Rhinolophus ferrumequinum: one gene and its partner. The protein of the gene in region 2 purifies or fractionates together with the protein of the main gene of each other region. This does not show direct contact. Links are inferred from orthologs where the notes say so. Each region holds a gene or a part of one and is shown on either strand. Other genes may lie near its edges.

Region 1 (13,068 bases), about 29 Mb from region 2:
CTCACTGACAAAAGCAAACACATAATAAAAGCAGTGGGTCAACCAACACTAAAGCTAGTAGTACAAAGGTTAAAAGGCAAAAATAGGAAGATCACGTGTAATTGCAACATCAAATTAAGGGATACACACAAACACACACACACATAAATAAATAAAAAAGTAAAAAACAATGACAAAAACATAAACTTGGAGGTGGTAAGTAAAAATGGTAGTGATTTTAGAATGTGTTTGAATTTAAACAACCAACTTAAAATAGACTGCTATAAACATAGCTTGGTATATATGAAGCACATTGGTAACCACAAACCAAAAATTGACAAGATATATAAGAAATAAAGATAAAGGAATCCGAACACAACACTACAGAAAGTCACCAACATACAAGAGAAGAGAGCAAAAGAGTAAGAAAACAACAAAGAACTACAAAAACAATCAGAAAACAATAAAATAACAATAACTACATACCTATCAATAATTGCTTTAAATGTAAATGCATTGAATGCTCCAATCAAAAGACGAATGGATAAAGAATATTTGGGGGCCAGTCGGATGGCTCAGTTGGTTAGAGCGCAAGCTCTGAACAACAGGGTGCCAGCTCGATTCCCACATAGGCCAGAGAGCTGCGCCCTCCACAACTAGATTGAAGAAGCTGAACTTGGGGGGGGTGGGGCGCATGGCCAGATGGCTCAGTTGGCTAGAGCACAGGCTGTCAACAACATCGGTTCAATTCCCGCATGGGATGGTGGGCTGCGCCCCCTGTAACTAAAGATTGAAAACGGTGACTGGACTTGTTGCTGAGCTGCGCCCTCCACAACTACATTGAAGGATAACGACTTAGAGCTGATGGGTCCTGGAGAAACACACTGTTCCCCAATATTCCCCAACAAAAATTGAAGAAAAAAAAATTTGGTACATGTATACAATAAATATTACTCAGCCATAAAAAATAAAATCTTACCATTTGTGACACCATTTGTGACAACATGGATGGACCCAGAGGATATTATGCTAAGTGAAATGTTAAGTGAAATCAGACAGAGAAAGATAAATACCATATGATTTCACTTATATGTGGAATCTAAAGAACAAAATAAACAAAACAGAAACAAACTCAGATGGAGAGCAAACTGATGGTTGCCACATAGAAGGGGGCTTGCAGGGCAGGGTGAAAAAGGTAAACGGATTGAGAAGTACAAATTGGCAGTTACAAAAGAGTCACTGAGAGGTAAAGTACAGCTTAAGGAATATAGCCAATAATATTGTAATAACTATAAGCACGTATGGTGTCAGGTGGGTACAAGACTTATGGGGATCACTTCGTAAGTTATATAAATGTCTAACCACTATGCTGTACACCTGAAACTAATATATTTAATGTCAACTGTAACTGAAAAATGTTTTTAATTTTAAAAAGGAAAAAAAATATGGGCTATGAATAGCGACTTTCTTCTAAAGAGTACAATATGAAAAGAGAGGGGAAAAGAGCAACTTACAGTAGAGAAACCTTATAAACACCACCTCAGCCAGGTGATCATGGTCAGTATCAACAGTAAAAAATCATCGTGATACTATTTACCCTTGACATGACATAATGAACATGCCACGTTACCTCTATGATCGATTCCCCAAAAACATAACCCCAGTCTAATCATGAGAAAAACATCAAATTCCAATAGAGGGGCATCCTACAAAATACCTGACCAGTACTCCTCAAAACTGTCAAGGTCATCAAAAACAAGGAAAGTCTGAGAAACTGTCACAGCCAATAGGAGCTTAAGGAGACATGAGAACTAAATGTAATGTGGTGTCCTGGATGGGATCCTGGAACAGAAAAAAAAATTAGGTAAAAACTAAGGAAATCTGAATAATGTACAGATTTTAGTTAATAATAATGTATCAATATTAGTTCATTAATTGCAATAACAATACCATACTAATGTAAGAGGTTAATAATAGGGAAAACTGAGTATAAGGTATATGGGAATTGTACCATCTTTTCAAATTTTCTGTTAATATAAGTCTAAAAATGTTCTTAAAAATAAAGTCTATTTAAAATTTTAAGAAGAAAAGAGAAAGAGGGAGGGAAATGATGCAAAAATGTTGGTCTTGGATTGGGTAGAATAATTGTTGCCTTTAACAATTGGAAGGAAATAAGGAAGGAAAAACTGATACTGATTTTGGTCAGATTGTATTTGAGGTGTGACTGAATATCCAAGAATGAAGTCTATTCACCACACGATTAGAAAAGGGAACTGGCAACTCAGGAGAGAGGCTGGTGGTAGAAATAAAAACTGTAAAAAGTTAAGGAACCAATAAGCAGTGAGGAAATGGAAATAATATGCATAGTCCTGATATTGAAGAAATTAAGCGGTGGACAGGAAAGTAACAGAAATGAAGGGCCTTGATTTTTCAATTAAATAGAAAGTGAGGTCATCTGCCACAAGAGGTAGAATGAAAAGGGTCACAGAGAGCTAGGGGAAAGGTTGGGGAAATAGCAATGGCAGAATGTAAGCAAACCAAGAAAAAAAGAATTAGAGAGAAGCTGTCATATTGGCAGACATTAAGTTATAGAGACCCTGCTAGCTTCTGTGCCTGTTCTCTAGTCATATGCTGTGGCCTAGAAGCAGAAGCCCAGAAAACAATTGATGGGTATGATTCACGATAACAAAAGTGCTTGCTTAGTATAGAAGATCAAAACGAATAAAGAAAACAATGAGGATAGTATCAAACTAGCTGGTTAGAGGTCTACCAGGGCAACATCAAGGGTAGTCGTGAAGGTTCTGGTAGACTCAATGAAGTGGAAAAGAGTTAAGAATCAGAGAACCGTAAGGAGGGCAAAATGCTGATTCTGTGGGTGTGAGGTAGTGAAAAGGGTGACCGGTAAGGAAGCTAAAATAAGTGATGAGAAGCACATGGAGGGGAAGCAGTGTCATAGGTGCGGTCCAAGTTGTAGTGACTGTGATGTGTGGCTGGTTTGAAAACACAAAGGAAGGTCAATAGTCTCATGCTGAAGAACTTTAAGATCAGAGTATCCTAAAGGTGCTGTGCTGGAGATACTGAGAATGAGAGCCAGAAACAGAGTAGAGAAAAAAATATGTGATGCCTGACCACTGCACTGTACACCTGAAGCTGAAACTGAATAATATTGTATGTCAACCATAATTTAATATATATATAGTCATGGGATATGGAGTACAGCATAGGGAATAGAGTCAATGGAATTGTAATAGATATATATGATGTCAGAGGGGCAATAGATCGGGAGAGAGGGTTTATCACTTTGTGAGGGGTGAAATGTCTATTACATTGTTTTGTACACTTGAAACTAATTAAAAAAAAAAAACAACAACAATGATGTGATAGGTCTGGGTCCTTGTGGGCAGTAGATGGCCCTGGGGTATTAGAGAAAATGTTGTAATTGCATGGCAATACCGTCCACAAGTATTAGAGTGACAGTGGTAGATCAATGATATGGAAAGAGTAAAGGAAAGCAAAAAAGCAGTGTGATTCCTTCTCCTCTTCCACATGGGTCTCCGAAAACAGAAGACACCCCTTGGTGGGAGGGTAGGGTGAGATGTGACATCTGGATTTTCGTTATATCAAATTAAGGAAACAGGTAAGAATAAAGAAGTGTACTGGAAATTAAGTAATATTTTCAAAGCACACATTAAAAGGAGCTAGTTGAAGAAGGACCTACTGAGTAGAGAGGAGAGGTTGTACCACTTTGAAGTGTGAGGTTGGAGAATGACAGGATTGTTGTCATTAGATATAAGAGAAGTGGTTTGGGATGTTAAGGAACATGAAAAAAAGCAAAGCGAGAAGCATAAATGGCACATTTTAAAACAGACCGTATGTAGCACAGTACAGACATAGTGTCACTTCCAGAGAAGACTATATATACACAATGAGGGCTACAAAAAAGAAAAAAGTGGGAGTGGCCACTTAGCTCAGTTGGTTAGAGCACAGTGCTCTTAACAAGGTTGCAGGTTCGATCACCACATGGGCCACTGTGAGCTGTGCCCTCCACAACTAGATTGAAACAACTACTTGACTTGAAGCTGATGGGTCCTGGAAAAACAAACTTAAGAGTAATACTTTGCCTTGCACAGCATTTTATAAGTTGCCTTCACATATGCCACCCTATTTGATCCTCAATGGATAGACAGTACTATGCAAATTTTTCTAAAGAGGAGGAAATTCGGATAGGACAAAACGACAATGAAAACCTTGCTTTTTCAGTTTTCAACACATAAACCTCACATACACAGCAGACACTTCAGCATCTCAATCAGCCAGGCTCGAAATTCTTCACTAGCGATAAGGAACAGTAGATTCTATCAAATTATCAAAGGGCTTGAGGCCACTAGACACCTTGCTGGTTTGCCTTCTTGCACCTTAGATCCCTCAACTTCTATCATCATCACCAAAGAAAGTAGAGAAGGGTGGGGCCATCAAGGAGAGAACTCAGCTGAAAGTTGTATTACGTTTCTCTTCCCTTCACACCTCTGTACCTCAGTGACCCAACAATAAAGATGAGGAAGAAAGTGGAAAAACCACTATGTAGCAATGAGACCTTCTACAGATACAGTTTCGAGAAAAAGAATTAAAACGTTGCTGTGGTAGGGCAGAAAGCAGGTATAACTAAGGGGGGGGAGGGGAAGGACAGGAATTGGAGGGAACTGAGAGTGTAGGAGCCCCCAAGACTGGAGAACCCAAAAGAAATATTGAAGCTTCAACTGCTGGAGAAAAGCTAAGAGCCCGAAAGGGTCCTGGAGCAGGGACCAGCATTGAAGGACCCCAGGGTTTGGGTGACCGGAAGCAGAGACCCCTAAACTCGAAACCAGAAGGGGGCGCAGGTGACACCCCGTGGGAGAGAATGAATGGGGAAGGCGGTTCGGAGGGCGGGGCAAAGGAGGGGCCCCGGGATGGGCGGGGCACAGACCCCTTTCCAAGTCCGAACCCCTGCCCCGAGAGCCCGGAGAGAAGCGGCTCCGCGCCTCCCGCACTCACCGCCGGTCTCGTCAGTTACATAGGGAGTCGCCATCTTGAAAACGCAAACCACTTCCGGCGTGAGCGGGCTGGGGTCCCGCCCCCTCCCCACCGGAAGTGGAGTTCTGATCGTAGCAAGCCACCATTTTAGTCTTAAAGAGAGAGTACACCATTTCATGACCGGAGGTGGAGAAGAAGGAAGGGAGGAATAGTAGCTGAAGACTTTAGTAAAATAAAAGCCGTGGGCTCTTTTACTGCCACTGATACCATTATGGAGCGTCTGCTGCGTGTAAAGCAGTCCTCTGGGCGCCGAGAGAAGTTCCTAAGCACAGCCCCTCTCCTCACATGCACTCTTCATCCGACCAGGACCTGCGAGGGAAAAGGGGGCAAGGCCCACCTGCACCCGGAAAGGGGGGGCTGATAGATGAGAAAAGGAAGAATATTCAGGCTCTGGCCTGCACTCAGGTCCCAAAACGGCGTGAGGGCATGGAGCAGCGCAGGCAAACTCCGGGAACGCACTGGGGCGCACTAGTGTTGTTGGAGGCTAATAAAAGATCCTCACTACTCTTTTAGAAGGTGGGCAGGTCGAAATCGCGTGCGGACTGCCCTCAGCCGCCCAGCTCAACCCTCCGGACTGAGAGCCGCGAGAGAAGGTGGAGGGCGCTGCCGGTTTGTCACCTGTCCCCGCAGTCTCAGGGTTGCCGACAGCTTCCATGCCGTGCAGGTGGTGGGTCGGGTTGGGCAGGAAGCCTGGGCCTGGCCCTGCCCTTGGGGCGGCCCGGGGGATTCAGGCGGCGAAGTGACGACTGCTTAAGTTTGCTCTGGCCTTCGGCCCCAGGAGCCTCTTCGGGCTGGGCCCCAGGGTCAGAGGGCAGCGTGAAGACTTATGGGCGGACCCAGTTAGTATTCTAATTAACCTCGTACAAGTCTCTGGGCGACGGGATCGAAAGCGGGGCAACTTGCCAATAATCCGGGCCCACATTGTCACTCCCTTTACAACCCTGCCCTGCCCTGCGCCTCCTTATTCGTTAGACCAACCCGAATGTGCTCCCTCCCCAGTTCTTCTCAATAGCTGTTGTTCCTTCAGGGCCAAATCCTGCTGAACTCGTTTCCCCTGCAGCCTGGGAGGGGCCAGCTGCAGGTTCCTTTCCTCAGGTGTCACCTCTGCCCTTCCCCACCCACGTTGCTTTTTCCTTATCAACCCGTTTACCTTCCCCAAATCCCTTACATTGGCTTAGGTTAATTCCCAACAGTACCTCTGAAACCAGGGAGGAGGATGAAAGTGGGTACTAGTGACTATCTCCAACAGAAGGCTGCGTGCCCCAGTTTAAAAAACAAAAAACTGAGAGTAGTGGCTGACTACGGACTTCCTAAGGCTTTAAAATTAAGCTTCAGAAGTTTTCTGGCGTCACAGCTTGCCTTCCTATGCTCCCCTTCCCTGACTTCCACCAGAGGCCCAACTCAGAACGTCTCAAAAGACTAAAAAAAAACTGATTGCATTCAATACACAGTTATTGTAAGTGTTCTAACACTTGCCATCCTTAACCCCTGTTCTCATCAGTTGTGCTTCATCCCTGCCAGGTCTAGCTAGCATCTTGTCCTTAGCCCTGTTACGAAGGATTAGAGGTGAGAGTGTGGGATGAAACCCCTAAAAACTAGAGGGATACATTGGTCTTGACTGTTCTACCTGAGGAGTATTAGTACTAGTGGGCTGCTCTATGGACCTTTGTACAAGAGGGAATCCTAAAGTGGCCCTTGTTAACTACCCAACGCTAGGCCCTCCACTGTGCCCCCAGACATCCTGCCTCAGCTCTGGGGTTGACAGGAAGTGAAACTCAACTGCCTGCCTAGCAGATCTGCCTGGGACCCAGCCCTGGGCCCGGATGTGCCCCCCACCTGAGGAGGAAGAGGGGAAAGAAGAGGCTGCGGAGAAGAAGGCTGTTGTTTTTTCCTTTCCCTTTGTTCGTTGTGGTTTCTTTCTTTCTGATTTTTATGATGTGGTTGATTAAAGAAATGAGCACCTGGAACTGTAGGCATTAGACGCCTCTTTCTGAGATGTTTCTTGGCCTTTCTTCCCCCCACCCCCAACAACAACTCACTTGGTGTATGATGGAGAGCACAGATCCTAAAGAAGACACAGAGAATATGACTGATTCTGTCTTGTTCCTTATTACAGAGATCACCTCATGTCCCACTTTGAAGTTTCAAAAATGTCTTAAAAGGAGCCTCTTTAACTTCATGTTGGAACATATCTGAGGATGATGGAATGAAAAACACAGATCATACATATAGGGTGGTATCACTGTGTTAATTGCAAGGAAAGCTTGATGCCTTAAGAATGAGTATCATTCCAGGATTGCTAGATGAGAGGTTCGGATTGGAAGAGGTGCTAGGGGTCTTGTTCTTTACTTACACTATATGTTTGTTTAGGATGGCTTAGAGTGGGGAGACACTATACACACACACACCCCAAGCCACTCTTTGGTGCAACCCCTAAACTAGACTATGTCTTTGGCTGTCCTGCAGAACTAAGTACAGGACCTGATGCAAAATAGAACTTCAAAAGTTTTTATGATTCCTTATGACTAAGGAGGTCATATAGGACGGGGAGATGAAGGATGGGGAGTGGCAGTGCCCTTGTCTTTTTAAGGTTGGAGGGGACACAGGAGCAGAGAGACAGACCTTCTCCAACCCATGCCTCAGATCTCCAGTTCAGACGCAACAACAATACCCTCAAACCCAATTTACTCAGCAGCTGTATTTCTGATAAAAATGGAGGAGTCTCTTCTAACAAGCTTGTCTTGAAACAATCAAGAACTGCTTAGAACCCCCTGTTTCCACTAGAGGTCCTCATGAATTCATTCCTTCTCCTCCACCAAAGGCTGTGTGTGTATTTGTGTGTGTGCACACGACGTGTACAACACACACACATATATCCTTCCAGTCAGAGCTCTCCCCTCCCCCTTTCTTCCACCACCAGGTGTAAAAGGGAAGATTCCAGGAACTCTAGACTTTGTTACTTGCCCTACTTCAATGAAGGGTAGGAAGGGGTTAGACGGTGTTGGGGCGGGGCCAGGGAGCAGGATGCCTGGGTCCCCAGTTCCTACCAGTAAGTCCCTAGGCCTCTGTTTCTCTACCTTGCTCTACCAACTTCACCACCATCCATGCTGCCACCAGAGCCTTAACTCCAGAACAGATTCCAGACTGGAGAAGCTGGAAGGATCTTCCTTCATCTTCTCTTTTGGCCAGGGCCTTCTACACCACCCACCAAGGCCAGCAGGTAAAATGGGACGGTTGGGCATAAAGAAAGGGTGTTCTTTGTACCTAAACCTCCACCCCAGGAATTAAGGGAAAGATCTGAGTCTTGAGAGAAGAAGATGTCCTTAGACTTGGGAAAACAAGTCTGAGACATTTTCGCGAGGTGAAGAACCTGGAGGTGGGCAGATTCTCACAGGTAGTGTCAAGCAGTGTGGAGCACATGGTCCGGGAGCTGTTCAGGTCTCAGGATGTGGAGTCTGGAACTCTGGCCTTGCCGCTGTGAAATCTCCTGAGTATGAATTTAAAAGTCAATGGTGGATGGAAAGCAGTTGGAAAGGGAAGTCCCCAGATGGCAGCAATTAGGAGAGGATGAGACCTTGGCTGGGTGGGCAGCGGCCAAGCTATCCCATCAACAGCCCTGCCTCCTATCTTGGACTCCAGGGTCGGAATGAAGGAAGAAGCTGTGAGTGATTGGAATGAAGGGAAAATAGAAACAGAGCTGGTCCCGGGGCGGGAAGAAAATGAGAAGCTCAGGATGTGGAGAAAGTGGCACAGACCAGAGCCCTGGAGTAGTCGTGGGAGGGGGTGGGGGATGAGGTTTGGTGAAATAGAAACTGAGGCTTCTCCAGACTGGCAGTTTCCAGAGTTGGGGGTGCCTGGCGCCGGCGGGCGGGCGGGGGTGAGGGGCGGGCAGCTGTGTCGTCAGGAGCGGGGCGGCCCAGCGGCGGCGGCGTCTGCCTGGCCCGTCCCCTCCAGCCCTGGTCGGGCTTCAGCTCCCGCGTCGTGCTTCAGCTCGGATCGCGCGCCCTCGGCAGGCAAGGTAGAGACCCCGCGAGCCCCCGGCCGCCGCCAGCCCTACCCTCACGAGCAGGAGGGGCGGGGGTCGCAGGAGGGGACTCCCCGCGGGCTGGGGTAGGGCTGCTGGGCCGAGAAGGAGGAAGCGTGACAGCTGGAGCGGGTAGATACCTAGCAGGGTTTGCGCCAGGACGCGGGGGCAGCGGGAGGACTGGGCCAGAACCCGTAGGCAGCGTTCCCCGCAAACCTTCCCCTCCATCCCTCCCGCTCTCTCGGAGGGATGGTGAAGCTAGGCTCCCAGTGACCCGAGTCCAAGGAAAGTCCGTTTTGGAATCTCCAGAGCGCTGCAGCGGTGGAGAAGGGTTCTTGTTTGGCCTCCTGGTCCCCAACTTCCCACCACTCTCCTTTCCACACCTGTCACCGAAAAGTTTCTGAAACTGCCTGGGTCTGAATACGCTTTTCACCTTTAAATGGGGGAAATGAGCTTTACTGAAGAAAAAATGCAAATATTACTGGGCATCTCCTCAGCCTCACAACGAATGAGCGAGCCCACATGCCTCAACTGTGCCAACATGGTAACTTCCTCCTGTATTACACAATGACACCCCCCTCACACACACACACACACACACACACACAAACACCACCCCCTTAATCAGGCAACACTACCATCTGTAAGGTTTGTGGAGGCTTAATGAATTTTGAGGCTTCAAGCCAAATGAGTCCCTCCCAGGGGCCACTAACTAAACTAGTAGCAGGGATGGGCAGCGAAGAATAGACCCTCCCTGGGTCCCAGAAAAGAAGAGGAGGATTTAGGCCCTGGTGTTGTTAAGGGATTCAGAAGTCCAGGTAATCAAACCTGGGCCCAAGAAGGAGTGCCTGCTCCTTGGGGTTCCGTGGTGGGTCAGCCCGAATGTTCTGGGGGCATAGCTGATTCTTGACTAACAGTAAACGTGGGGGACTTGGAATGTGAGCAATGAATGTTGAAGTGAAAAAGAAAACTAAATTTTAGCACTGGCTTTGAAAATCATATTTATCTCTTGGTTACCAGCAATTTTAGTATTTGATGTTTAAAATAAGATCTAGAAAATCAGAAACACTAAGATTGAATGGAGTGGACTAAGGACAGGATATGTAGATTCTGGGCATGACCCTGAGAGAGTTGTGCTCTCTCTGGGCCTCAGTTTTTCTCCTCTGTAAAATCTGAGAGTTGGTGCCTCCTAGCTCTGAGGATGTTCTAGGATTCTGTCTCCAAGTCAATTTCTAACTGTCTCACCCCAAGTTGGAAGGGGCTGGCAGGGAAACCAGAGGAGGGAAGGGAAGGGTGAGTCACAAATAGCTGGCTGGCAGGCAGCAGACCCCACCCTCCCAGCCCTGGCAGTCGCCTGGACTAGCCCAGGTTATAGCCTCAGGGTTGGGATGGAGTGGGGAGGACAAAACTGGACTTGTTCCAGGTCTTAAAGGTCCCAGGGTCTTGCAGTTAGCTGCATTTCAACAACAGGGGCAGCTAAACTTTCGAGGAGAGAAGTAAGGAGGACAACTGAAAAAATCCCAGGAGCGCTATGTCCAAGGTCTTAGCCCTGGGCTGTCCTTAGACACAGATAATCTAGTTTCTAGCCACCTCCTCACCCACAGGCAAAGTGCAGAATCCTGATACTACATGTCTGTGCCTGAGATATGACGGGGGGTGGGGGGGGAGGTGTACAATGGGGCTTCACTCATGCTCAGAGTTCCTAGAATTTATACCTGGGTCAAAGGCATTGTTTTTCCTGATCTCCAGATGTGTTTTCTTTAGGTACCACCCTTGTATAATGATAACAACAACAACAACTGACATTTATAGAGTTCTGTGCCATGCAGTTGCTAAACATGTTGCATGTATTATTTAATCCCCACATTGTGACTGATTTCTCTACGTACCCATTTTACCAATGAGAAAACAGGTTCAGGGAGATGAAATAACTCATCCAATAGCTAGGATTCTAATTCATGCCTACCTAATTCAAAAGTCCATTCTCTTAACCTTTATACTATATTTCAGACCTGGGGGATAGGAAGGGTCATTTTGAAAACAGAGACAAGAGAGAAGTATCATGTCCTGCCATCCTTTGTTTTCTCTCTCCCTGTCACTTTCTCTCAGGTTCCATTTCCTAGAATCTTGGAGCTATCTAAGAATCCCCAGGAGTAATCAGAGCAGCTAATTAAGCCATACAGGCCCCATTGGCCATAAGACAATTATGTATTCACTACACCTATTGTCACTAGAGATTATAGTCATTGAAAAGGGCCAGATGGGTGGAGTCCTTTCTCCAGAATGTCAGTGTCCCAGAACCCTTTTCTGAGTGTTTCCAGAGAGTCCCCAGAAAAGGAATGGTGTGCTACATAGAGGTGGGCAGCAGAGCTGTCTCAAGGACCGAGGCTAAAGAGAAGATTCTTGCACTGTCAGAAAGGAAATTCTTGTAGGTCCTGACGGCCTCCTTGAGCTTGACCCAACAAGCCCTAAGTAAGTGGGCAGAGAGGAGGAAGAAGGTCACAGTCTTGGATGGAGTACAATATAAGTGCTTTTTAGCATCTCTCATTCATTTAACAAACATGTGTTTAACACCTACTGTATGTGCCCCAAATTTCCTCATCCTTAGTAGCAGAATGGACACTTTGGCATCTCATTTAACCATATTTGGGTTAATATTTCCAAAACGTGAAACTCCCTAACTTTGCACAACTATTTGTACAACCAATATGGAGCACTTATAACATGCTGGGCACTGTTTTAGGTATTGGGGATACAGTAGTGAAGAAGACTGACAAGTTCCTGCCCTTGTGGAACTTACATTTTGGTAGAAGACAAACAGTAAACAAGGAAGAAAATAAATTAGCAAGATAATTTCCACTTGTGATAAGTTGTATGAAGGAAACAAAGGAGGGTGCTGTGCAAAGAAGGGGGCTACTTTACAAGGGAAGGATCAGGGAAGGTCTCTTTGAGGAGCTGACATCTCAGCTTAGGCAAGAAGTCAGCTCTGCCAAGAATGGGGAAGGGTATTCCTGGCAGACAGAGCAGTAAGTCTGATGGCCCTGAGCAGGAAAGGACTTAGTGTGCTTGCAGAACAGAACAGAAAGGAGGGCTGTGAGACTAAAGGGGAGAGTGGAACAAGAGGAGGAGAGAGAACCAGGGCTCTGCCACACCGTTCTTGGGTTTGAACTTTGGTTCCTCCATTTGTTACCTGCCTTGGGAAGTCCCAGCCTCTTTGAGCTCCAGTTTCTTCGTCTCTAGAATGACTATGCCAATAATTTTCTGTTTCATAGGATTTGATTTTAGTTGATAATACAACAATAACTATCATTTTTTGTAGGCCTTCTATATGCCAGGCCGTATACTACTGTGTTTCCCCCAAAATAAGACCTAGTCGGACAATCAGCTTTAATGTGTCTTTTGGAGAAAAAATTAATGTAAGACCTTGTCTTTTTTACTATAAGACCAGGTCTTATGTAATATAATATAATTAATATAATATAATGTAATATAATATAATACTGGGTCTTATATTAATTTTTGCTCCAAAAGACGTATGACAGCTGAATGTCTGGCTGGGTTTTATTTTCGGGGAAACACCATAGGTACTTTTAATACATTATTTGACTTACTCCCCACAACTGTGAAAGATAGGTATCGTTCTCCCCATTTTACAAATGTAATTTGCCCAAGTCACACAGTGGTATCAGAGCTAAAAATGGAACCCAGATATGACTAACCCTAGTTCTGTTTAACTCCAAAACGGTGCTTTACTGTAGTAACGTGAGATATTGTTATTGCTGTTGTTGAATCCTCAAGGCAAGTTGCCCTCTACTACTTGGTCCCCGGGCCACTGGTCAACATGATGCACGTGATGGCTCCTCCTCGGTCTCTGGGTCTCATAGCTGAAAGGTGGTGCTCCCCAAATACTGCTGGCTAACCTAGCAGGGTAGAAGGAAGACCCCAGAATCCGAGACTCACCCCCTAAGCTCAACCCTCCTGGAACTGGGACGTCA
Region 2 (12,199 bases):
TATTCACAACCACCAATAAGTGAGGGTACTAATATTTGAATCCTGGACTGTAAGACTGAAAGACTCATACACTTTGACTTCACAAAACATTAAAATTAAGAACTAGTAAAACAAATACAACATAATGTAGATGTCCCCAGTGTGCCACAACTATTGTACAAATTTTTCTCTGTATTTTATCTGCAAATCTAAAACCAACAATTAAGAGGCTATGTGTGTGGTGATTTCTCAGGTTAAATAGCACGCCATTCAAGACAGTCTTAGCTACATCACTGATCAGAAGACCTAATTATGCACAGTTTATGGCACACACAAAATAATTAACTAAGGTTCTTAAATAATCATAAAATATTTGACTTAAAGATCCAATAGACAATTTCTGGAGCATGCCAAATCCTCCCCAATACCAAAACACATGATCACATCAAGTGGATTGATGAAAATACTGGGCGCTTCCTGAGTTTAAAAGAGATAAACAGTTTATTGCTGTTGTTTCTGTTTTTTAGAACATATGTACATATGCATAAAACAAACTGAGATCAAAATTTGTGTTTTAAAACTGTTTACAATGCATAAAATACTCTTTACTATTACTTTTGTTTTCCTAAATGTTTCTTTAAATAGAGTTAAGTTATTGCTACAGAGTGTCAACATCTGTTAAAATTTCTCCATACATTTTCTTCTACTCAAAGGTGTTACAACGTATAATCCTCAGGAATATACAAAAGTGAAATTATGTTTCTTCTTCCAAGGGTCATATTGCATTTCTCCAAGAGTTGAAAAGATCCAATTCAGAAATCAAACTGTCTTTCAACAGAGTGAAATTAGGCCTTCAGATCTCTTCAGAAGCCCTTTAAGAAACATTAATTACTCTGAAGGGAGTATGAGAGGCAAAGGCAGTGGTCAGTTTGAACAAAGAAACCAATCAAATCCCTCTCTGGGGCAGAAAGATACAAATAAGAATTTTCAAAGTTATAAATTTAGAGAAAGTAAATTTTACATGGTCAATGAGAATCCTGTCTCCAATTTCACAGACACCTGTACTTATTTCTAATAAAAGTGGTTAACATATAATAGAAATTATCCATAACAGTGTGAAAACATCCTAACCTGGGCTGGCTGCCACAAAGACTGTTCAGAAAGATGTCTCAATTTACAGTTATACATGGATTCCTTTACTACTAGGAAGCAGCACAAAAAATGAGACCAAGTAAAAGAAAATTAAAGCGTATTTACTAGGTATCTACTAAATAAAAAACTAAAGAATCAGTGAGGATCTATTCTAAATAAGGAGAAACATAACAGTTATATTATCAATTTTTAATATTTATGCATTTAAAGAATCCCTAAATACGAACCTGTCGACCAACCCTATCAGGAGGAGGCCACAAAGCATCATCTTCTTTGGTAATTTCACTGTCATCAATAATTCTCTTCAGTTCTTCCATTACACTCTTGTGTACATAAGCCTGAAAACAAGTTACAATAAAAATTTCATAATGCCTATTTCTTCCCACAGGTCAGAAGGAAATGATAAAATGGAGTTAAAAATCCTAAATATTCAAATAGAATATCACAGAAAAACTTAATTCCAAAGTACAAGATGGGAGGGAATCATTCATCCTTCTTAGGATTTTTCTTCTCTCTTGCCCTTTTCTTTTAATATATATTGTTCCCTCGTCACATCACTTAGCCCCTTTTTAAACCGTTGTATTCTGCCTTGGTTAACATGGAACTCAAATATCTCCAAGTGATTCATAGCGACAACACAAAATTTGAGGTGAACAGAGACAAATACTAGAACACATCACAGTGATCTGAACTTTTATCCCTAATTTTGGAGCCTTTCATTTAAAATTCATATTGTGTTTAAATCATGATCATTGTTTTAAATAGTGAATAGAGTAAAAAGACAAATTAATTATGAAGTGAATTAAATGGTATGTTCAAATATGAGACTATAACAATATATTCAGATTGCTTCTTTTGTTGTTACAGATGCTATGATTAGATCTAATTTAAACTGAATCACTTTTCAATCTATAAATTGGATTCTTTACAATACGGACTTATATGTATTTTTGTAAATTCAACACAGACTTAAGGAAAATGGCAAATGTAAAAAACTGGACATTCAAAAAAATCTTACCTCTTTTCTGATCATGACATCATTTTTGTAATTGCTGTTGTTGGCATATCTAAGCTTTCCTGTGGGGAGTGGAAAAAATTCAATCTATAACAGCAAAAACTGCTAAAAAAAATAATAATAATAAAGAAATGACACTGTAAGCAATTTTGAAGATAAAGACCATACTATACTACTACTTTTATTAATAATTCTTCCCTCTCAGCATAAGATTAATGCTAGACATGTAGGCACACAAAGATTTGCTGGTAAGTTGGCTACAGTTGAAGCTAGTCAAATTTTTAAACATTCCATGCCTTTGATATAATTTCTAAATATTCAATATAATTTTTAAATATTCTATACCTTCAGTATAATGGGAAGGCCATTTTTTAAGGCCCATTTTCTTAAGCTATGTCCTAAACTAGACAGGGAATCTGAAAAGAGAAAAAACTCTTCTTTTAAAGTTTGTGTCTGTGTTGGTACCAAGTGATTAGCCCAGAGCATTTAATCTAATCAGTTAAACAACCTTAAAAAGTGGGTTTTATTCTCACACCTATTGATAATTGAGAAAACAGTTAAGTAATTTGCCCAGGGTAACACGAGATTCAGCTCTAGATATACCTTCTTCCAAGTACTCCAAAATTTGGAGTAATTATTTTCCTTCAAATTAATGCACGTATGATAATATGGCAATGGTAGTATTTCAGAATTGTGGTTAGGAAGCACACAAACTATCTGCTGCTTCTGGATAAAAGTTGGCCAGTTTGTTAGCTAATCTATACTTAATTTTAATCCATTATGACTTTTGTACTCCCTGATGCATACTTCCCCTTATGGCTAATTAGTTGCCCAGGTACAGATGTAATGTGCTCCTGACCCTCTAAAATGATAGGTTAACCTAATGAGGTGAACGCCTTAGGAATCACTATTACTGATGGAAATATGTGCATGGTGTGGTAGCTGATAAATGGATGAGAACCACTGTTTGGGCATGAAATTTCCCTGATAACATTAGACTACTTAATTTATGTGACTGGCTAAGGACAAGCTGAAAACTATTCCCAGGCCAAAGCACTGAAAAAACATCACCTAAGGAAACAACAGATGGAGAATTCAGGTAAATTGGCTCCTTAGCTAAATTTAGAACAGACGTGAGGAAAACAGGAGAGAAAAAGGTGATTAAGGTTTCTAAATAATTGCAGGTCTGTAGTGACCTGAAATGTCTGATACTCTTCCCCTTTTCTAATATGTGATTCTCCCCTAAGTTCTCACAGAACTTTGTCCAAAACACGAACACAGCACTTAATAGCCAGACTGCTTTATGGTTAGTTTCATGTATGTGTTGCCCATCAAGATGTAACTCCTTGTGGGAAATTAAAGAGTCTTAACCACTACCGTACCCTCAATTTTTGTATTTACATGCTGCCCAGCACATACCATGCATTCAGAAAAGAAAAGTCTATGCAGTCGGACTGAGCTTGTTGCAAAAAGAGTTCAATATACAATAAAACTCTCTAGAGAATCAGAGCTGAGGAAAAATAGAATCTGCTGTACACTTCCTGGGCAGCAGGCAGTTTTACTTCGCCCTCTGCTCACGCTGCTCTCACTGCTGTTTTTCCTGCAGAGGCCAAGAAAATAATCTATTTCCAGATCGTCTCAACTGTCACCTTCTCTGGGAAGCTTTCCCCGCTCCTTCATGTAGAACGTTATAACCACTCTCCTTTTTTAATTTTAATTCATACTATAGAGAACAACTGTATTGAAGCACCCACAATAAAGATACACCATTACACTCATTTTTCTACACGTTGGTCTTCCCCTTCAGAGGACGCCTCATTCGTTTTTCTAGACATGTTGCCTTACATACAATGCCTGAATGAATAAAACGGATGAATGGGTAAATCCAAAAGTTACTGGCCACCAAAAGATTTTAAGCATCCATTAAATCAACGCACGTTGGGGGATGTTCTTTAAAACGTTCAAGTATTAGGTCGATACGTTAGACGGCCTTTCCGGTCCTTTCCGGTGAGCTGAGTCTAGGATCCTGACTACCGTAGGTTCAGCTGTAGTATCTGGCAGGATTACCTTTTCGGAATTAATTTACATCGATTAATTCTCGTTTATTCACAACACCTCTTTTGTGAATAATTTATGCCTCTTGTATTCTCAAGCTCCCATTTACTTCGGCGCAAGCAGTGGCCTCAGCCCTCACTGTACACTTGCACGCCCACCCCAGGGGCTCGCCCACCCCACCCCGCCTCCTCCGCGGCCTCTCCGCCCCGCTCCCCCAGGCCCAGCACCGCGCTGCAAGGCGGCGGCCGCCGCCGCTCCTCCGCTCACCGTCCGGCCGAAACTCGAACTCCAGGAACTCATGTCCAAACTTGCCCTTGTGCCCTACATAGTAGCGCAGGTAGAAATCGCTGGCCAGAGACATCTTGGTCTCCAGAAAGCCCGCCGAAGGCCTGGCCTACTCGCCGCCGGGCGCCTAGCAGTGACGTCAGTCGCGCGGGAGAAATGCGTCACTGCGGCGCGCCCCTTCTGCCTCCGGACTCCCCAGAGGAGGGCTGGGAGGCTGCAGCTCCTACAGGAGGCCCGAAGCCAGCGGAGTAAGGGTCGCAACGACTCGAACTTCGCTTACTGGCGACAGAGGCATGTTATTTTCAAACTTAAGTAAATCGTAAATAGCAAAGGACAAAAGTGTGAACATATGATAGCATTTTTTATCGGCTTACAACTAAGGTGCAATTGCAAGGCGCGTTTAGTTTTCGGGTCTCGATTTCTCGCGGCATCCTGTGAAAAGGTGGGCGTGGCATCACTCCCCTTTAACTGGGGGGATGAGTCCAGATAAAGCCCGGAATCGAAATGATAGATCTGGAATAAAACCCTTTTCTCCTGCTAGATTCCTAACTCGGGGCTTTCCCCTTTGGACAGTGCTAGCTGTCCGGCTACTTGATGCCTATGAATAATAGAGACAAGGTAGAATCCATCAGACAAGAGGTCTGAAAATTTGAAAGGCACATTGAAAATGAAAATCCCGACAGGCATGGTATAAAAGAGTTCCTTTTAATAGTAAAACTTCTTTCATTAAGGAAAGGTTAATCTTTAGTGGCCTGAGGAGTTTTGGCAATGTGACTTAAGGTCAAATGGTTTAGCCCACGTTTCTTACCAAATAGAATAAATTGGGGAGGGGAGGGATGCTTACCAAAGGGTTTAGAAGGATGGGCAAAGGCCAGGTGAGCTTTCACACAAAGTCTGTTTTTCAAATATTGATCATCCTTCCTTTACCAACACATAGAGTAATCCTGTTGATGACTTTTGACCTTCAGTGGGGTTTAGTAGGAAGAATGGCAGACAGAAGACCTGGGATTCATTCCCAACCCTTACATCTACCTAACATTGGTTAAGTCACTGTCTCTAAGTCTGTTTTTCCATCAACCAAATGAATATACTACAGTCAACTTTGCCAAGCACACAGAATTGAGAGGGCCAAATGAGATAATGCATGTAAAATAGATTTAAAATGTATAAAGCATTAAATAATGAGATTTAACAGGTACTCCTATGTGCCAGAAATGGTTAGACACTGTTAATAAAAAGATAGAGCCTTTGCATTTGCAGTCTAGAAAATAAACATATAGACATATTAGCACAAGGAAGCAAATGTTAGAAAGAATTTTTTTTAATGCTGGTAGTACAGCAGAGGAAGCAAGTCACTTTATTGGGGAACAGGAAGCTGAAGAAAGGGAAGTATCGGGGAAGCCTAGTGTGACAAGACGTGCTATTTGAATTGGACCTTGTGGGATAAGTTGACTATATGTTCAGAGGGATGGAAAAGGCACTCCAGGAAGAAAACAACCTGAGCAAAGGCACAGTGGTGTGAAAATGCATGTGTGGGGACAGAGCCCCAAAAAGCAGTTTCCAGGCTCTCGGCCTCACATAGAAAGGTGCTGGCTCAGGTAGTAAATGGCCATCGACTGTGATCAAATGGCCATCAGCTGTGGCTAGTTGGCCGTCAGCTGTAACCAGTGAGCCATTGGGCACTAATATAACTGCCGTGGCTAGGCTAGCAGAAAATGGGGGCCTAGCAAGAAGATGGTGGCTGAGTCTGCAAGCGGCGCAGTGAGGGTTGAGAATTGTGTTGCTCCTGTTTCCTGTTTCTCCAACACAGCCGCCAGCGAGAATACAGTGGTATGACTCCCCTACCTATGGCTCCGTGGGTGTTCCTTTTTGGCCTAGCCATGTCCTGCGTTCTTGTGTGGGGAGCGGGACCAGAGACCCCGCCTGACACCCCGCATGACAGCATGATTTGGGAAGGCCAAGAAATTCAGTATAGTTAGAACATGAAGTTCATGAAAGTGGAATAGCTAGAAAGGCAGATTGGCCCGGATTATGTTGACTCTATATTAACGATTATGTAACTGTCAATATAGTAGTTTGTATTAACCATTGCATCAGTGTTTACATAGGAAAATTATTCAATTCCTACTGTACAGGCTGCCATTAGGGAAAATATATAAGAAACATAAAGCACCATCCTTTACCACTAGGGCGACTAACCATTCCAGTTTGCCCAGGACTGAGGAGTTTTGTGTGATGTGGGACTTTCAGTTTTAAAACCTGGGAAGCCCCAGGTAAGCTGGGATGACTCAGTCACTGTACCTATTACAAGAATAACCCACAGAAATTTGACCACAGTATCTATGAAAATACAGGCAGTAATCCATTTGGTTTGTTTTTTGTAGGGAGCCTCATTCAATCTCGTTAGATTCCCTAATGCATTTCTTTCAGATTTTTGACACATATGCTAGCATTCATGTTTACCTAAACAGAGCTACAGATACCAGATCTGTGACTGTAAATAGAGCTTATGGAATGCACAGTGTTAAAATCTTTCTCTGTGGTCCAATTACTGTCTCTATGCCCTGAAAAGACTTCTGCGGTCAAGACTAATCCTCTCTAATCCTGTTTTTAAAATGAATTGCGAAAATATATTAATCCTTCATATCTTTAGCAAAAAAAAAAAAAAAAAGCCAAAAATGTGTCTCTCTCATAGTATAAGGATTGCAAAGTAATAAAACATAAGCTGTTTTGTGGTCTTGGATATTATACAACAGAAATATGGAAATGTTGTGAATGGCTACTGAGCACTTGAAATGTGTCTAGTGAGGCTGAGGAACTGAATTTTTTATTTTAAAATATTAATTTGTGTGAATTTAGATTAATATTTAAATGCAATGTGTCCCCTGGCTATGGTGTTGGACAGTGAAGTTATATAAGACACGTTTCATACACTTTTACTTGGGCTGGAAATAGTGAAAACATTTTTCGAACATTAAGAAATCTCAATCTCAGTGGTTGTAGGCTTCAATTTAGGGCATGCTTACTGGTATCACCACTACAGTTTATTCAATTTGTAATGTACAAATGCCCACATAAATAAGTGTATAATGTCTCTTACTTTCTAGGCTGTAATCAAAAGCTCTCCGTTCCTTTTATCCAACACCTAGCACAACGTATAACAGTGTTGTCCTTAAACTTACCACTCAATTTTTTAAAAAATATTTAAATCAATAAATATTTTGTAAATTTGACTTAAATGAACAGCCAAGAAACAACAATGAGATTCCAGAGGACTTCATCATTTTGTGCCAAGCCACTCAACCTTCCTTCTCTCTACTGCTACTTACCACCCCTTTAAATCCTGACTAGTTCACTGTGGTATTCCTACAGGTACAAGAATCATTATTTAGTTGGATGACTCATCATGACTCCATCAGGAGTCTAACTTTTATGAAATTTTCAACTGCCAGTCATCTTTCCTACAGCCTTAGATGTCCCACCCAGAGTACCCCGAGTGAGTATTCTTTAAAATCACAGATCACATGTCCAGCTGAATTGTCATCATCGTGATATTTTCAGTGTTTTGAAATAGGAGGAGACTCTTCCCATCCTCCAGAAGCTCACACAGAAATGATTACTTCATCATTTTAGTCCTGTGGTGCTTGTACCACACCATCATCCTTAGGCAGGCCCTGCCTTGCAATGTGACTGACAAACCTAGGTTCGCTTCTCAGCCACAGATTTTAAATAAAAAAGATATGAAAGATTCTAGGATAGGAAGGGAAAAAGGAAACTAACATTTATTGAGTACATATTATGTGCCAGATACTGTACAAATACATACTCTCATTCAGTCCTCACAACAACCCTGTGAGGTAAGTATTATCCCCATTTATCCATTTTCTGCCAATGTAGATTGCCTCTTGAATTTTTCTGTTGACGTTAACTTCCATTTATTTACTTTTATCCTCCCTATTGTCAAGATGTTAGCAGCTGTATACTAGAAAAGCCCACTTTCACTCAGTGAATATTAACGTAATGAAATAAGTTTCACAATACATCAGCAGATGATTGAAAATCAGAAGCTACCATCCTTCTGTCTCAGGTGATGTCCTTTGCTAGCCCTTGTTAAAGACCTTCTGGCCTACTAAGCATTCTTGCTTGATTTCCACATTCCCTATTTGTTAAACACACACATTATATTCATCATGAGCCTGACTCTCCAGGCTCCGTCTCCTTAGTCTTACAGGGACCAGGAAGCTGGCCTGATGAACACATGTTGAATGTTCCTAATCATAAAATGATCCCTCCAGGTTCTCGTTAAAAGTAAAACCACCAGGGTTTACCTGTGTTACTATTAGGGAAAAGGGGGCTATCTTTCTCTTACCTACGCTCAGGGGAAACTCAGAAGTTTTCCTTCACAGTTCTCCTCCAGCCCTGCATGAAGGGGCCAGGACTGAGGAATGTGACATCCTTTCTCCACCTTCACTTTGAAGGATGACCTTAGTCCACATCTATACTCCTGAGCAAATAGAAGGACCTTTAATTTTCTCTCATCAAGTTCTTTATTGGCTTTCTAGTCCCTCATTTGACTAATTTCTGTGGACCTTATAATAGCCTCGATAAAAGCATCCTTCAGGAGGAAACTAGCCTGTGGTGGGAGCAACCAGCTTATTTGTACTGTGCCCCAGCAAACATCACAGATTTCTAAAACCTCCTGTGCAGTGACACTGGCTACCACTTCTACCCTGAGTCTTCAAGACTGGGACAGCAGAAATGAAATTGTATTTCTCAGCCTCAAGGGTATGCAGCGTGTAGAGTTTCACCCAGCATCACTTCACATATCTAGGGAAACGTATGGGGGAAATCCAGGATCCATGTCCTCTTTCTCTCTTTACGTCCCATTAGAAAGTCCATCCTCTGTTCTTGGAGAAATTGGTTCCAAGAGTATATGATCACCCATGGATGTTTCTTGCCCTGGGATTGTCAAAGGAAGCTGTGGCTGTAGGAGAGGCTGTCCACGCTGATCCCTGCCACAGCTGCATACAGCTCAGGCACCACCAGCTCTGGTACCTGCAGCACAGCCTTGTCATCTGCAGTTTGAGCAGCAGTTTCTAGGCGTGAGCATAGCTCTCTAAGGGAAGGGCGGCTGTCCTCACTCCAGCGCCAGCAGGACTTCATAAGACCATACCTGCAAGGGAAATGAGAGACACTGACTTCCCTGACCAGGCAAGTGTATGAGAAACACGTCTCCTCTCCTAAACAAACTTGAACAAAAAAGCGCTACAGTTCTTTAATCTACTTCTCATTGTCCTGTCTCTCATATTCTTCCCAGAGATTAATATTCATTTCGTCCTCTTAATACTTAGTCTCTTAAAATCATCTTCTCAATAGCACCCTTTTTATAATAGTAATGACTGAAGATTCCTCGGAGTACAATCAGTATGACAGAACAGTTTGTGGTTTTTCCTCCCCCATTCTATTGCCAAATGCTCTTTCAGAAGTCAAGTGTTCTCACCTTTAGATGTTACTAACTTGTAGCATTCCAGACCATTGCTACAATTTATGTATCAGTAGAAGCTACATTATAGCCAGGAAAATAAGAAGTTATGGAATAATATGATTCATACTAATTTTTAGGTGTTCCCTTCCGTTAATCGAGGTCATTTCCCCCCTTTATAATTTAGCTTCTTCAGGAAATTGCCTTAATCTAGATAAAAATACTTTAATCCATCTTTTCTTCAATCCAGTTTAGAGAATGTATAATGCTATCTGTTTTCAAATACTTTTATCATGTACGATGATACCCTGCTCAAGAACCAACAGTTTTCCACCGCCTACCACATGATGTCGACATCCTACCCCCAGCTGTCTCCCACTCAGGCCTGGCCTAACTGAAGCCCTCTCCTCCAGCCCAGTGTCTTGCTATGTCCTACATGTGCTATTAACACCCAGCTCTGCCTTTGCTCATGCTATGCCCAAAGCCTTGAAATCTTCTCTGTCGTCATCATTCCCTAGGTTTGTTTTAAATCTCAATTCCTCTATGAAACCTTCCCTTATAAACCTCAGCCCACCATGTTTCCCACGCTCATTAACCTTGTACCATAAGACTTTGTGAAAGATGCTACTTTAACACTACTAACATTTACCAAGAACTTATTATATAAGGCATGGAAGTGGAACTCAACATGCATTATTTCATTTTAGCCTCACAATAACAAAGGTAGGATTATCATTTTACCTATTTTAAGATAAGTAAACAATGTGCAGTAAAATAACAGGACTAGGACTGAGCATGTGTCTTTTTGACTCTATGAGAGGAATCTGAGCTTTTAACCATTTTATTTACTACCTAACACTTTATGTTGATTTTCATGTTTTTCAGGTATCTCCTTATCCAATGTTAATTTCTTCAAGATTAGGTATTTTATCAGTTAAGTGTCTCCCCCCAGTGTCAAGGACAGCCTTTTACACATAGAAAGTTTGCAAGAAACATTTTTCAACAATTTCATTCTGGTATACCCAGCCAGTATCACTATATTGTGTGTGTTTGTGTGTGTGTGTGTGTATGTGTGTGTATTTATAGTTACGATAGTTAACATTTGTAATCTGCTTGATATAGTAAATGTTTATTATAGGGAAACCCAGGTACTGGAAATTTACCCTTTTGATGCTGAAAAATTTGCAAAATTTACAATTTTAATGAAAATGTATATTAATATATACATTTATAAATAATCTAAACCTTTTCTTATGTCCTATAACCATCCCTTTTTGTATTTTATTGGTTATAAAATTCTGTGCACAACTTTAAATTTTTCCATTTTTTTGCTCTGTATTGGTTCACCAGCTGTCCCTTTCTGCTGACAATATTGGATTCTCCTTCTCCTGCCTTTCTAATTTCTTCCTACCGCCCCTCTGGTTGGTTTCTAATGTGCTTATAGCTGGAAAAATAGATAATTTTTAAAAGTTAAATATTAAATAAGAGCCAGTAAGTAACCTAGTGCAGTGGATTTTATGGCAATTATATTAGAACTGAGGCTGGCGGTCTCTGACTGAGACTGACATTTCAACGAATAAAATACTCTGTACCTGCATTGGATTTGGTCTACTTCTTACCTATTTTAGAAACTTCTGGAGGAACTAAACTATCAAATTTAGATTCATAATATAGTTGCCTCAACATGGTGTGTGTGTGTATGTGTGTATACACACACATATACATATGCAATATGTATATATATGATGTATGAGCAGATGTGTTTTACTGTGTAGGTTTGGTCTAGGGATGCACATTAGCACAGAAAGGACAGCTAGGGATCAACTGAGTCACTTTGAAAAGGGCATGATTCATAGGCAGCAAAAAATACTTGGATTTCATTCTTCTTTATGGCCGAGTAGTACTCCATAAAGAAGAATGAAATCTTATCATTTGCAACGATATAGATGAGAACATTATGCTAAGTGCAATAAGTCAGACGGAGAAAGACAAATACCATATGATCTCACGTATATGTAGAATCTAAAGAATAGAAGAAATGAACAAACTGATCAGAAACAGTCTCAGAGATACAGAGGAAAAACTGAGGGTTGCTAGATGGGAGGAGGGTAGGGATGAGGGAGAAGGTGAGGGGATTAGAAAGCACAATCGGTAACCACAAGATGGCCACAGGGATAGGAAAGACAGTTTGGGGAATAGAATCAATAATGTAAAGATTTTTGTAGGGTATC

Evidence for each region.
Region 1: the proteins of MAGOHB (region 2) and PYM1 purify together in Homo sapiens (co-immunoprecipitation; 3 studies listed by BioGRID and IntAct, with this or other methods). This does not show direct contact. The link is inferred for Rhinolophus ferrumequinum from reciprocal best matches to the Homo sapiens genes MAGOHB and PYM1.

Annotation. Positions count from the first base shown.
Region 1 is NC_046293.1:55,334,131-55,347,198, forward strand, and holds the start of PYM1 (partner of Y14 and mago), read right to left. Parts: upstream 5,231-13,068; 5' UTR 5,168-5,230; coding exon 5,011-5,167; intron 1-5,010. UniProt on the Homo sapiens protein: Key regulator of the exon junction complex (EJC), a multiprotein complex that associates immediately upstream of the exon-exon junction on mRNAs and serves as a positional landmark for the intron exon structure of genes and directs post-transcriptional processes in the cytoplasm such as mRNA export, nonsense-mediated mRNA decay (NMD) or translation.
Region 2 is NC_046293.1:26,240,914-26,253,112, forward strand, and holds the start of MAGOHB (protein mago nashi homolog 2), read right to left. Parts: upstream 4,637-12,199; 5' UTR 4,563-4,636; coding exon 4,469-4,562; intron 2,209-4,468; coding exon 2,150-2,208; intron 1,470-2,149; coding exon 1,359-1,469; intron 1-1,358. Other genes in the region: tyrosine-protein kinase STYK1, read right to left, coding at 9,455-9,659. UniProt on the Homo sapiens protein: Required for pre-mRNA splicing as component of the spliceosome. Plays a redundant role with MAGOH in the exon junction complex and in the nonsense-mediated decay (NMD) pathway.